Schizosaccharomyces pombe: one gene and its partner. The protein of the gene in region 2 binds, or shares a complex with, the protein of the main gene of each other region. Each region holds a gene or a part of one and is shown on either strand. Other genes may lie near its edges.

Region 1 (6,703 bases), on a different chromosome or scaffold from region 2:
GATAAAGATAGCCAGATAGAGTCATTGAAAAAGACGACGAAAAGGCGTAAAACAAAGAGCGCAGAAATGAATAATCTAAAAAATTACAAATGAAGTATTAACGTATTAAAAGGAAAAAAGTATGAAACGCAAATAACTGATAATAAAATGATTAGCAAGCTAGTTTCTTTAAAATCGGCGTACAGTTTCCCTCTTTTTGTTTGTCAAAGAAGAGTAAGCGTAGGAAATGCCAGTATTCCCTTTGTAAAGACATGTACGAAAATTAAAGCAACTGTACCAAGATAACCAAAGAGGCTGTTAGAAACAATTTTTTTAGACTTGTTGCTCGACAGTCTCAAATGCCGATTCAACAGGAGGCTCAAAGAAAGCAGCGTGTCCGAATACACAGACACAGGAAGCACCAACTAACCAAATGATAGTTTCGATGGGAGATGCGAACAGCCCAAGAGGAATCAACACGCATGCTAGAATGACATAAAGATTTTGGTTGGAAATTACACGATGGCTAAGTTGTAAATCAGCTCCTTGAAGCTTACGAATACCATAAACACCACCAACACCAATTCCAATGACAATTAAAAGTAAAGGGTTACGGATAAGTGCGTAAATAACGAGCATAGCAATGATTGCAAGATAGTTAGAAGAAAACCTCGAAAAGTTGAAGCTAATTCTCGACTGAGCTTCACTGAAATTCCTAGGTCTAGAAATTCTACGAACATCCAAGAACTCGCCCACCGATTTAAAACCACTTAGATACTGAGCCTACCATTTTGCGTTAGTGAATTGATCTTTTCAAGTTTACTACTCATAGTTCATTAATTCATACCCTTGAAGCGTAAATTTCTGAGAAAGTCTCCGAAACTTTAGTAATACTCAACGACAGTGCTGACATTATGAAAAACCGTAGTAGGTGTCTTAGATATAGGGAAAGGATAAATTCTACTTTTCCTGGATGTTGACAAAGTATTCTAAGCCATTGATTGTTACCCACTGTAAAGTACATTGAGAAAGCAACGCTAAATAGATATTGTGCAACAGAAAAAATTGTAATAATTGTATTGCATAACTCATTTTATTTAAATTATGAATCACTATCGTATATAGCGTAATTTTGCTTTAAACGCTATTTCAAATCTATGGTAAAACTAGATGAACTAACGTTGCTGCGAAAGTTCATAGATTGCTTATAAACCTATTTCTTTAACTAAAAGGATGTATTTTAACTTTATTTTACTGAGCCAAAGTCCATTCGTTGACGGTGTTGAAATTATTCTACAGCTTGGTCATTGACAAATTTCATTTTCTCTGATAATTCATTTAATAATTTGTATCAAAAAAAAATAGATTCTTGAGAAAGATTAACATAAAAGATAAAATTACCCTACATTTCTGTACTCAAATCGATATGTTCTAACTTTGAAAGGGTTTCACAATATATGAATAACCGTATATTGGTACAATTTAATCCTATTATAGGTAAAAAACCTCACATAGAGACAATAAATAATTATTATTTTTTGTTATATTGTCGAGAATAGAAGCATGTAATGAATGCAATATCTCGTTATTTCCAAAGAGTCAACTGCTAAGTGAGTTCCAACAGAATTAACAGGCAGAAGCAAGATACTGATGTCTTCAACGATCACAAGATAAAAGGAAGGTGTATTTTTTACAAAAAATTTCGCTGTCAGCTTGCTCCACAAAATGCAATTTGCACTCTTCATTTTTCACAACTCTTCAATGTCAAAAAGTAGTAACAGCCTAAAAATACGAGCTAGTGTTTTTATTATTCAAGGTAGATCAAAAAGAGTATAATTTCCGGCTATCTTGAAAATGATTCACGCTAGCTAAAAGTATGCGATGATGACTAATTAATGATGACCTGCATCATTTCGATTCTACACACTTTAAACATCATTTTCTAATGCTTCTAGCGTCGTCAAGTTAGGACCTGGCCTAATAAAAACATCTGAAAAATCTTCGTTGCTTGTAAGCTCTAAATTATGTTCATTCGCCAAATGTAAAACACAAATAAAGGCAAAACTGGTGGATATATCTTTGAGTTCTTTTTTCTCGTATGTCTCCTCTAATTGATTGACAGTGGAAAAAAAAGATTTGACTGGCATGTTGGTTTCTTCTGACTCCATCTCCGAACCCTCAATATGAGAGTTGATGGAATTTTCTTTAATTGTGTTTTCAAGATCTAGACATTTCCATAGCTTTTCTTTCAGTACTCGCACATCAACCTTTTTAGCACGCTTCGCATAATTCAGCATATCTGGTTTTGCCAAACGAGCAGTTAACAAAAGGTTATCACCAAATCCTGATGATGATGGAGGTGTAAGCAGAGGTGTTTGCTTAGGGCTATCGGAATCTCCAAATCCATACGGGGGTATTCCTTCATCAACATTATCACTGCCATCAGAATCGAATCCATGGGGTTGAATACCGTCCAAATCATTCTCATCATCTAAGGCTTTATTCAGTTGTAGCTGTCCTTCTCCATCAGCGTTGGGTAGAACTGACATCTTTGGTTTCAAGAAAAGCTGTAAAAGCCTCTTAGAATCATATTGGTAGTCATCAGGTAGTAAACATCGATTATGTCTTTTCCAATGAGACTTGGGAAGCTTGAGACTGCTGGTTGCAGGAGTGAACAGTGCTTCGACGTCTACTTCCTGCAAGAAATCAATGGCGTTATCAAGTTCTCGACGCTTTTTCCGTTCCGTGGAAGAAAGAGAACGCGATACATTATCTGAACTTTCAGCCGTATTGGAAGAGTTGAATACAGTTGATGCGTTATTGATATTTTTTCTCAATGCCTGAATGCGCCAATGTTCGGGTCCAGCCCAGTTCTTTTTCATTGACTTGTCAAAATATTCGTATACTCCATTCGCAGCGGCAGTAGAAATAATAGAATAATTTTCATTCATAGTACTTCCATCAGCCATATTGACTTCAGTATCCACACCAAAATCTGGATTTTCGGATTCGTCCATTGCTTTTGGTACTACATCAACATATGGGTTCTCCTCATCGTAAGCCATTTCCTCCAAAGCATGCACAATATGTCCTTCTTCACCATCGGAATCGGAAGAAAGGGAAGCTGCATCAGCATCAGTTTTCTCCATCGTATTATCCACTAAGGAGGTTGTCGTTATCATGTTAACTTCATCACTTAATGATTTTAAGAGAGAGACATCAAGATTCCCTTTACTATCAAATTCAAAGCCCTGTAAGGAGGGACATATTGTCAACTGATCAATATCGGTAAAATAGCATTTGTAAATACCATTCAAGGTCTCCCTAGAAATATTGTCATGCACATTAGTCATTTCTGTGTCATGGCTTTCGATAGGCGCTGCGACTACCGCTTCCTGCGATTCAGCTTCAACATCTTTATTTTCCAAATCCTTGATGACAGTATCGCTAGAATCGAATACAATTCGTCCATGTTGATCAACACAAAGATGATTCATTAATAAGCCTTTAGCACCATCCTCATCAAAATCTGCACACATTTTCTTGAATAAAGGATCAAAAGAACATTCTAACTCAAATTTTTTAGCGCGTATTGACTCGAAATCTTTAACGAGAGTCTTTACCGAACGTTGTGCACGCTTTCTCTCTTTCTTTTTCTGTAGATCCTCATCATCATTTTCAGCATCTTCGCCTTCTTCCGTTTGCTGCAATACTTTGGAATCGTTTGCCAATCCACTGAGTAGCTTGCCGGTCTCAGTAGCAACAGAATCAATACGCGAAGTATAAATTTTCACGCATCCGTCTAATGTACAGCTTGCCTTTTGGAAATTTATATCTTCACCATCACGTAGAAGCGACATGTCGTGAAAATAGTCAATAAGCGCAAAATTCCAGGTATTTGTGGAATTAATTTTGTTGTCAGTAGCTAATTTAATCCATTCCTCAAAATTAGAAAGAACAGGAACCTGATGAGAGCTATTAAATGGTGAAGAATTGTTTAGAGATTCTCTTCTTGGCGTTATTGAGTGCAGAGCTGAACTTCTTCGCAACTCGCGCTGCTTACGGCTGTTCTCTTTAGCTCTTTTTTTTTCTAATGCATCGTCATTTAAGGAGGGTAAGCTAACGGGCGCATGCCCGCCTAAACTAGCTCTTTTCATTGATTTAAGTAAATGTTTATGTTCACAAGTGGTAAGTCGGTGTGCCTATACGTATATCGCGCTTTAACGATATGCCGTATATTTCTTTCTAATCAACAAATGATAAAGATTCAAATAAGTTTCTAAATAAATGCCAATATGATAACATTATTTTTCTTTTGAAATTTGTTTTCAAATAATATAGTATTTCCCAATTTACTTCATTGATGGCTTCCCGATTACAAAGTCAAAAGTCTTTTGTTTATTATTCTGTTACAAATTTTGTGAAGTTTCAATTATTATAAATCTTCCATATAAAATTAACAAGGTAATACCAAATCAAGTTTGGATCCTAAAATTCAGTAGCTATCAAGTTTTAAGAGAATTTTATTTTTCGTTTTCGTTTATTTAAACTTGAACTTCGTAGTATTGTGGAGCAAATGGATATATCTAAGACAGTATATCTCTTAACATTTTACTTCTAAATCACTCCTGAATGCAATCCACTGAATGGTATGCGCATTTATCCTGACTCTCAAAATATTCAACCAATATCAAATGCAGACGATGTAAGACAGAAAATTGATTCTATTCTATATTAAAAAATAAAAAGCATTAGTGTACCATCAGATATAATGCGTGCTTTTTAAACGAACTATTATAATTGTACAGCTGCCCATATATTCATGTACCATCAATTCTCCAAGAGCATCATTGTCTAGTTTAAATAGCCACGACATGTTGGAGCACCACACAAACAAGGAATCTTATCAGCTTCTTCCGGAAACTTGTAATCATAAGTAAGTTCCTCTCCATGCATAATATCCCTGTCAGCATAAATTACGATTTTTCTTTTCCCTTCAACTCTAATAATCCTAGCTATACAATTAGGAGCGCATGAATGATTGATGAAACGCGCGATATTTCCCTTTTTTGTAGCATCAACGATAACATCCTCGTCAATACGGAACAAATAACTGTCTCCAATACCTTCACGAACGTAGTTCTTTTCACGATTATCAGCCACCCGTTGTCGAATGATTTCTCCAATATACTCTATGACCATATCATTTTTATCAATGTTTTCCATGGCAAAAAGCCCTAATGTATGAATGCGACTAGGGCCAAAATGTAATTGCTTTTTACGAGCCTTTAGTGCATTGAATCTGAGCAAGTCAGCTTCGGCTGGCAATTGAGACTTTTCAACTCCAGCAGCCAATCTTCTATTGTTAACACGATTCATTCGTGATGTGATACGGCTTGTAGAATGACTAATAGTATCGATGGTTGATCGATTACGAAGTGGTAGATATAGTGATTTTTCGGTAGTTGGAATAATATAGTATCCCTCACTTTTAGCAGAACCGCTAGTATTAGAGCGAAAATAACCTTTAGGTTCTGGAAGAATAGCCGTATCTCCATACTTAACATCCCCATTCTTAAATTTACATGACTTGCGTTCATAAGCCCAGAAATTGGGATCGTTGATATCCATGAGGGGTTCATCCTTGAGTGCCTCTTGAAGATATGAGTAATCTTCGTCATTTTTTACCAAGTACTGTAGACCATCCAAGTCAAGAAGTACATCGTCTTCTGGATAATTGTAAGGAAGTGCACCATAATAAACGCTTCCAGTTTCATCAAACTCATTAATACGCCATTTGGGAGCTAAAGCTAAAACTTCATCAATCTCTTTCTTAGGCGATATGAGTTCATCTTTTATGGCGCTACCTGATTTTGGAATCGCAGCACTAGGAGAAAGTATTGATGCATCTGATTCGGTTTCGCTGGACGAAGTATAGTCAACTTCCATCTTTTCATATTTTTTCTTTGATATTTTAGATTTTGTACGAAAACGATGGAATTTGTCATTTTCATCAGATGTATCAGAAAAAACTGGAGTCGCCTCGTCAGACTTCACAGACTTTATTGAGCCAATCTTCCCTCTTTCTACACGCTCGTCTCCAGAAGATAACAAAAGTTCTTGATCAGACTCGGCTTCAGAAGCGCTTGAGTTATACATTTGATTAAGCTGGTAGTGTAAAGGTCGAGCTTCGTGCCTTCTTCTACGTCTTCTTTGAAGTTTCGACTTCGTTTTACTACCCGCTGAAAGATTCATTTTACTGGAATCAACTCGTTTTTTAAATTTGGGAAGACTGGGGAGCTTTCCGACTGTTGATTCAATTTTTAAAGGAACATCAGGAACACTTGTAGATGAAACCAATAAATTTTCTTGTAGTTCTTCCTTAACAGAAGGCTTAGGCATTGAATGAAGATATTTGAAGATTGCCGGTCCAATTATTTTACTTTTTACATCACGTAACAAAGCAGCCTCAAGATCTCTAAGCACAACTGAGGTTGCTTCAGCGTACGCTTCCTCGGGAGGTAAAACAACTCTTCGTACTGCGCTCTTTTTTCCATCTTCCTTTGTACGTGAAGGAATGTCATGAAATTTCAATTTTATGCGACAATTTTGTACGTATGTACGATCCAGCGCACGGTAACAATTGCTCGCTTCGCGATAATTATTAAAAGTTATATAAAACCCGTCTTTGTTCATGTATATCTTTTCATACAAAAATTTTCGA
Region 2 (7,710 bases):
AAACACTCAAAATAAAGAAAGCAAATGAGTTTACTTTAGCATAATACAAGATAACCGATGACTAGATACATAAGCATTGCATTTAGATATTCATAATAAACTTTTTGGTATTCATAACTATGAAACCTTTTATAAAACAAGCAAACAAAAGACGACTACTTTTTGCATAATGAAAGATTGTAAAAAGGGGTATTCGCATGGCACGCTCCACCGTAAAAAAGAATGATAATAAATATAGCAACAGATAATTTAAAATATCTAGCTGACTGTTCTCCGAACTTATACTGCAGTAAAGCTGGCAAATATAAGATCATATCCAGGAAAGTCATACACTATAAATTCTTCACGCTTATAAGAGCTAAAAGATTTAAGTTTGGCCGAGAAATGCTTCTCTTGAGACGCACCTTTAGCCTGGAAAAGGGTAAGACAAAATTTGTTTGCACCAAAAGTTTTAACAGTTTTTTCGATTGTTTCAGATATGGATCTTCCGAATTGGAATTGCGAAACATTTGTTTCAAATGAAGCATAAGAACAATGTTCTTGAGGCGTAACATGGATTGTGGCATAGCGGTCCTTGTAAATCATATTCGACGAGAACCCAATTGGCTCAAATTGAAAAGCATCAAGCACTGCTTTTTTATCAGAGGTACTACATAAGTCTCTAACACCCGATTCATCAGCTACATAACTGCCAAGGATGTGACCCCCCGAGAGATTGTTTTTTTCTCGAACATAGTCATCACCTCTAGCGCTCCGAACAACATCCAAGGATGGAGCGTAAAACTGAAGCGAGCGTTCGGGAGACATATCAGTCATGAGTACCTCTAGGGTCTCATCTTCAGGATCAAGGGAATCTTCCAGTAAAGAATAATCATCAGCCAGATCAGAAAACAGATGCCAGTGATTCTTGTTTGTCGGACCCACTACATAAGAGCATCCACTTGGAAAAAACAGTTGTAAGTAACGAACTTCTTCCTCCCAACTCGTATGTGGTGCAAGCTGGCGTTCGGGATATAAAAAGTTTTTTCTTGAGTAAAAAATACGAAGAGGACGATCAAAGCCAACACTAGAAGCAATTTCTAATAGGCGAGGCAAACTAGCCAGTAGTGTAGTGGTTCCGCATGTTTTAAGGATAATTTTATGGGCAAACACAAACATAGAGGATTCAGAAAGTAAATATGCATCTATTTCTTCACTATTAACAACGCTGAGGACTTTACATTGGGCTTGGGCTAGCATATCATCCCAATCATTGCGAGAAACAGCTTTTAGTCCCAAGTTAGCCTTTTCACCCGCACTTAAATTGGTTTTTATAGGAGCCGAAAACCATAGTTCCAGCAATTTTTCAGGACCTTCAAATGAGGAGGTGTTAAATTCTTCCGAATTCTCTTGATCAACAACAAGGGTAGGAGACATTTTAGAATATAGTCATACAAAGAACTTCCAATGCTATATGTGCGCTGTGAGTGTAATTCCCAAAACACGTACTAGCTAGTTGCTCCAGTTACACTTTTAGGATATTTATTAGCAAAAAAGCATACAAATAATAACTTAATTGCGGCTGTCGCACCAATTTTATATGATGTTGAGGCTAAATACATAACCACAGAAACATCCTGTATCGATCAAAATTTTAAAACCCTACCCTAAATATTTTTGAATATGCTACAAATGACATCGACGCTAATAATAAATTTGGAAATGATGAGTTTACGATATTTTATACATATGATACATACCGTAGTCTAAGTTTCATTAGCGGCACAAACAACTTTAAAGAACCAAAAGTCTTGTTTTTAATGATTGGTAGAAATATTCTTTAAATAAATTAAGACATCGGTGATAGTAAATAGTAGGACTATACATGCGCGTATAATTCAAGTGTTTACGTTCAAATTAGCGAGCTTGTACCACAGATGATCCGTCCATAAATCGTACATGAAATAGTCGATTAGCATTGGTAAACATTCCTTCTTTAAGGCTAACAATAATAAACTGAGAACCTTTAAACTTTGTTTTAATAAGTCTTCCAATGTTTTGGGTATGACTTAAATCGAGCGCCGCGTCAATTTCATCTAAAATGTACATTGGAGCAGGCTTATATTTAAGTAGAGACATAATAAGAGCCAATGCAACTAGAGACCTTTGTCCACCACTAAGTTCTGCCAGACTATCTTTCCAAATTGACCCAATTTTTACATGAATTTCCAATCCATCAGTGAATTCTTTATTCTCTGGTGGCTGTAGTTCTGCACTATTACCAGGAAGTAGTTCGTCAAAAATTTCACCGAAAGAAGAATTGACTTCTCTCCAGGTTTTTTCTAAGGCACTCCTTTTAAACCGATCAATACTTTTGACAGTATCTTGGATCTTTTTCTTATCGCGATGAATGGTCTTTATCATAGAGCGCAATTTGGCTTCTTTCTTTTCTACACCGTCAATCATGTCCATAACCTTGGGATTAATAGCTTTACGCATACTAGCAAATCGCGGTTTCAAATTATGTAACTGCTCTCTACACTGACGCATGTTTTGAGAGTGAAAATCGAAAATGGTTCCTTGCTTACCAAAGTGCTGTTTCTGTCCATCTATCCAATCATTTTCCTTTTCCAAATGATTAATAGCAGTTATAGCAACTGATTTTTCTCGCTCTAATCGGTCAAACTCGTGGTTCAGCTTTTGAATTGTTAGCTCCCCATTGTTTATTTCAGATTCGAATGTTTTCATTGAGGTACTGAGTGAATCTATCTCTTTGTTAAGTCCAGAAAACTTGGCGCTTTCAATTTCTATTAGTTCGGTGAGTTTCTTTCGATTATGCTCCTCATTAACAAGTGACAGCTCAAGTTCTGCAATTTCCGTCTTTATTAAACTCGTGGTCGATTCACCTTGTACGAGAGATTGCTGATGGTTTTGCAATTCGCCTTCTAATTGTTCACATTCGAGTTTAACGCCATTATAGTCATTCTCGGACTTTTCCAATATAGGAGTAAACTCGTCTAACTTGTGCTTGTATTGATTAAACTCCTTTTCCAATTCAGCCATTTTTGATCCCTTGTTATGTTTCCATTCTTGCATGTCTCGTTCAATTTTTTTTATAGCTTGGTCACTTTGCAATATAAGTCTGTCTAATTCAGGAAGCCTTTGCTTGAGATCTTTAACGTCGTCTTTGTACTGCTGATAATCAGATAAAAGACGAAAAGATGAGTCGGTCTCTCTTTGCTCTATCAAAAGTGTTAATTCATGTTGCTTTAGTTGAATTTCTTGCTCAAGTCGATGAAAATTGGCATTTTGAGTCTTTAAGTCTTTAAGTTGAGTCTCCAACTTTTCATATTCTGAAGTAACTACTTGCAATTTTAGCTGCAGACTGTTCAGCTTTTGTATCTGTAGTAAAGGACCGGCAGATTTATTCACAGACCCACCAGTAAGGGTACCAGATGGGTCATAAACATCACCATCAAGCGTGACACTTTTTAATTTAACTGAAGGATGAAAGGTAACTTTCTTTGCCGATTCAGGGGTATCACAGACTAATGTGGAGCCAAAAACATACTGCATTGCAGGCAAAAGCTCATCGTCATAACCGATTAATTCCAAAGCAAGTTGGGCTTTATTATTAGAAATTTTTTTGGCTGCGCCTACTCTCTCTGCTGAAGCTACGAAGCTGGTAATTTTGTTGAGGGGAATAATAGTAACTCTCCTCTTCAGGTTTCCTTTTTGAAGCAATTGTGCACCAATTTTCTCGGTTTCAACAATGAGATTATAAAGGCGGCCACCAGCTGTAATTTCTAATGCAGTTTGCTTGTCATAATTCTCTTCATTCAAGGTTAGCAATTGAGCCACCAATCCTTTCACCTTTGAGCGATCAAAATTAGGAGTAGGGTCGGTATAAGTAAATTCCATATAAGCAAGTTTGCTTTTTAAAGCATCAAGTTCATTTAACAAATTGCCGCGATCTTTAGCAAGTTGCTTCAACTTTTGCTGGAGTACATCTTCACCTGTAATGTCGGAATTTGTATTTTTTAAAGACATTTTAAGCTTCTCAACATGGTTTTGTAATATATCGATTTCGCGATTGAGTTGATCACATCGTTTTGTAGCCTCAGCCTTCTTAGGTTTAGTTAAAGATATTTGTTTATTGAGTCCTTCAAGCTTTAATCGATTGGTTTCTTTTTCAGCTTTAAAGTCATTCAACGTATCTCGAGCTTCGTGTAGTTTTCTAGAATAGCCAGTTTCATGACCTTCTGTAGTGGAAAGACCAGTTGTAAGTGATGAAATTAGCTCTTCTTGAGACTTGAAATCCTTTGAAATACTTTGATGTTCATCTTTCCTTTTTTCGTATACACTAAGCACTTCATCTAGTCGTTTCCTTTTTCCGCGCAACAAAGTTTCTAATTCCTTAGCTTTTCCACGAATTTGTTGAAGGTCCCCATGCTCTTCCTCTAAAGCTGTATTCTTTAATTCTATCGACGTGCTTATTCTGGTGATGTTTTCATTAACAGTTTGTAACTGAGAGTCCAAGGTACGATCCGAAGAAACACTCATTTGTCTCATTCGCTCATCTTCAATTTTTTTAATCTTTTCCTTTAGTATTAAAACCTCCTGTTTCGATGTTTGTAATGAAGATTCCATCTCGGCGATATGGCTGTGCTTCTGGGATGCTTGAACCGTTAATTCCTCCACTTTAAGTGACAACTTATAATAGTCGTAAGCAGTACAAAGATGGCTTAATCGTTCCAAGTCATTATAAATATGTTGATATTCTAGAAAAGTTTTTTTTTCTGTACGAAGTTTGGTAAGTCGGGGTTCGATTTCCTCTCTTAACAGTGTATTAATCTCCTCAACCTTTGCTTCTTTTCGTTGCATTGTTCGAAAAGCCTTTTCTTTCCTTTCTTCAAACATTCGAGTACCAGAGGCTTCTTCAATCATTGATAAAATTTCAGTAGCCTTCATATTAAGAACCTTGGTGATTCGACCTTGCATAATTAAAAAATTAGGATTATTAATATTTAACTGAACAGACTGGAACAAATTTTGAACATTCTGTTGCAGAGCTCTATGTCCATTAATCAAATATTTGCTTGTACCGCCCATGATAATTTGTCTTGTAACGCTTACTTGCGGGTGATTCTCGAAACCAATTGGTGAAGACGCAGGATCCCGATTATTAAACACAATGGTAACGCTAGCTCTGGTTATTCCTGCCTGTCCGCGTTTGTAAATTAAGTCCTGTAAATTCTGGGCACGGACAGTCGACATATTCGTAATTCCCAAGACAAAGCATATTGCATCTAATATATTACTTTTTCCAGACCCATTGAGGCCCGTTATAGCATTAAATTGGTCATCCCAATTGCTAATGACAGTTCGCACAGCATATGATTTGAAACCATCAATGATGAGTTCCTCTATTTTCATTTCTTCAGTAAATTTCTCGTTCTGTTTGTTTACTGAAGCCCAAGTATTTAAGACTAGAATTCAAAAAACTGATTGACTTGTAAAGTATTTCCTAGAGGGAGATAAATCTTCAGCAGTACATTTCAGTCCGAACTGTTTGCTGTTTAGTGTAAAAATGATTAAAGCTGTTTGTCGTTTAAAGCATTAAAGGTGAAATAAGACTTCATAGTAGATATAAAAGAGTGCGACTACTCTAATAACATTTACCGCAACGTTAAACTACGTAATGATGCTTAGTATGCAAAAAGCTTACCGCTATTAACATTTTAGATTTATTAGTTTATGTATTTTAATACTTTCAAGTAACTTGTTTAAATTCTTTTTAATTTAAAACATATATTTTATCTTTTCTGTTATTTAACTATATTTGATAATCAGTACTGCACTCACTACACAAATGGGGCAAGGTGAATCCATTCCCAGTCGGCAAATTCAAAGGGACGCAAGTATGCAGGCGGTTTCATCAGAAAGTGAAAACATTAATGATTCAGATCGACAAAATTCTGGCTTTAGTAGGCTGTGGAATCGTTTTCCCTCTTTGCAGCGAGTCTTAGGTCTTCGAAGAGCAAAGCGGCATCGTAACGATGAAGGCAATTCGGAAAATGGTAATCGTGATAGAACTACTGAAAGATCGGCTTTTCGTTCTCGCTACCGTGGTTCGCTTTTGAATAGGAATTCTCCTTCTCTAAGGTCGTTAAGTCCACCAGCTACACCAGCTACTCCTCGCTCTCGTATAGAAGGCGAATCACAAACATCTGCAATACCTCAAACAGACAGGTTAATCCTTGAAAATCACCAACAGGAATTTGAACGTGCTGCTAGAAGATTTCGTTCTAGTATTGCTGCTTTACGCAATTTAAATACCCAAAACAATCAGTCTACGTTGGCATCGAATCATGAAGATGAAAACGTCAGTTCGAGCGGTGGACAGGAAATGCAGGATCATGGCTCTGTAAATAATTTAGAATCTCCGGGAACTGCAATTGGAAGATTGCCGGTAAGATCTGTCACTTCTCTAGCGGACTCAAATATGGAGGACTATACTCGTGCGGTAATGAACTATATTAATAATAGTGAAAATACTCAACAAGCATCTGTTTCTCCAGAAGAAAGTCAACTAGTCATGCTTTCTCGATTTGTGTTTTCAGTAGCGTCTGGTTGGGTTAGTGTACTGATGAATTCTTCGAGTGCACATCAATCAAACAATTTAGAATTTCCTTCTTCAATTTCTGGAAATGTGGAATCTGGAAATGTTGCTTTCGATGAATTTTTATCGCTTTTGCACGCTGGTAATCTGGTGCAGGCGATGAACGCAGAAACTAATCCTAGGACTGCAGAACTAATTGCAAATGCTGTGGATCTTGAAGAAGAATCTGGTCCTATAAACCTTTTTCGAACTTTTAGATTTGACAATTTACACCGAAATCATGAAGGTCAAGAAGTAATCCCGATTATAATAGTTGGCATCCGAAGTCTAAGAAATTCAGGAAGTGATGAAGATGATCAACCAAGTGCCGATTCCCCAACTTTAATGCATCCTTCTGATTTGATATCTTCACTTGTTAACTCGCAAAATCAGACAACGTCCGTTAGTGATAATACGGGGCCAAATGAAAATGTTAATGAGGCAGAACATATTTCCGAAGACGAGCAAGCTTCTACTGCTACAGACGTAAATGGGATTTCCGATAATAATGGATCCTCCACTCAACAAGCACCTGAAACTAGAAATAATAATTCGCAAACGGACCACCAATTGCCCAGAAGCTGGGCCATATACGTTCGAGAAGCTTTTGTACCTCAAAATCATCCTGTTTTGAGAGCACCTTCACTGTTTACTGATTCACCAACGTACGAGGACATGCTTTTATTGAATTCTATTATCGGTATTGAAAAGCCGCCAGTGGCTTCACAAAAAGACCTTGAAAAGGCAGGTGGTGTATTCCCTTTTTCGGGAACCGATGAAAGATGCCTTGTTTGTCTATCAAATTTTGAGTTGAACGATGAGTGTCGCCGTCTTAAACAATGCAATCATTTTTTTCATCGTGAATGCATAGATCAGTGGTTAACTTCAAGCCAAAATTCATGCCCCCTGTGTCGTACTAAAGGTGTTGCTTCAGCATCTACTCCGTCCTCTCCCAAGCCATAATCAACATGATCAATCATCATGACAATTTTGTTGCTTTAAAAACTTTTCGGATTCCTTCCACCAAAACGATTTTGAATGTATTTACCCATATATTTTATTAATGTTCC

Evidence for each region.
Region 1: cut14 (region 2) and cnd2 share a complex: the UniProt entries of both Schizosaccharomyces pombe proteins name them as parts of the condensin complex.

The regions. Positions count from the first base shown.
Region 1 is NC_003421.2:407,932-414,634, forward strand, and holds cnd2 (condensin complex non-SMC subunit Cnd2), read right to left. Parts: upstream 4,161-6,703; 5' UTR 4,137-4,160; coding exon 1,908-4,136; 3' UTR 1,423-1,907; downstream 1-1,422. Other genes in the region: yip3 (Rab GTPase-binding protein), read right to left, coding at 313-762, 827-892; histone H3-K4 methyltransferase Set1, read right to left, coding at 4,834-6,703. UniProt on the Schizosaccharomyces pombe protein: Regulatory subunit of the condensin complex, a complex required for conversion of interphase chromatin into mitotic-like condense chromosomes.
Region 2 is NC_003423.3:2,875,954-2,883,663, forward strand, and holds cut14 (condensin complex SMC subunit Smc2), read right to left. Parts: upstream 5,416-7,710; coding exon 1,897-5,415; 3' UTR 1,734-1,896; downstream 1-1,733. Other genes in the region: S-adenosylmethionine decarboxylase proenzyme Spe2, read right to left, coding at 280-1,416; SPOM_SPBP4H10.07 (ubiquitin-protein ligase E3), read left to right, coding at 5,852-7,603. UniProt on the Schizosaccharomyces pombe protein: Central component of the condensin complex, a complex required for conversion of interphase chromatin into mitotic-like condense chromosomes.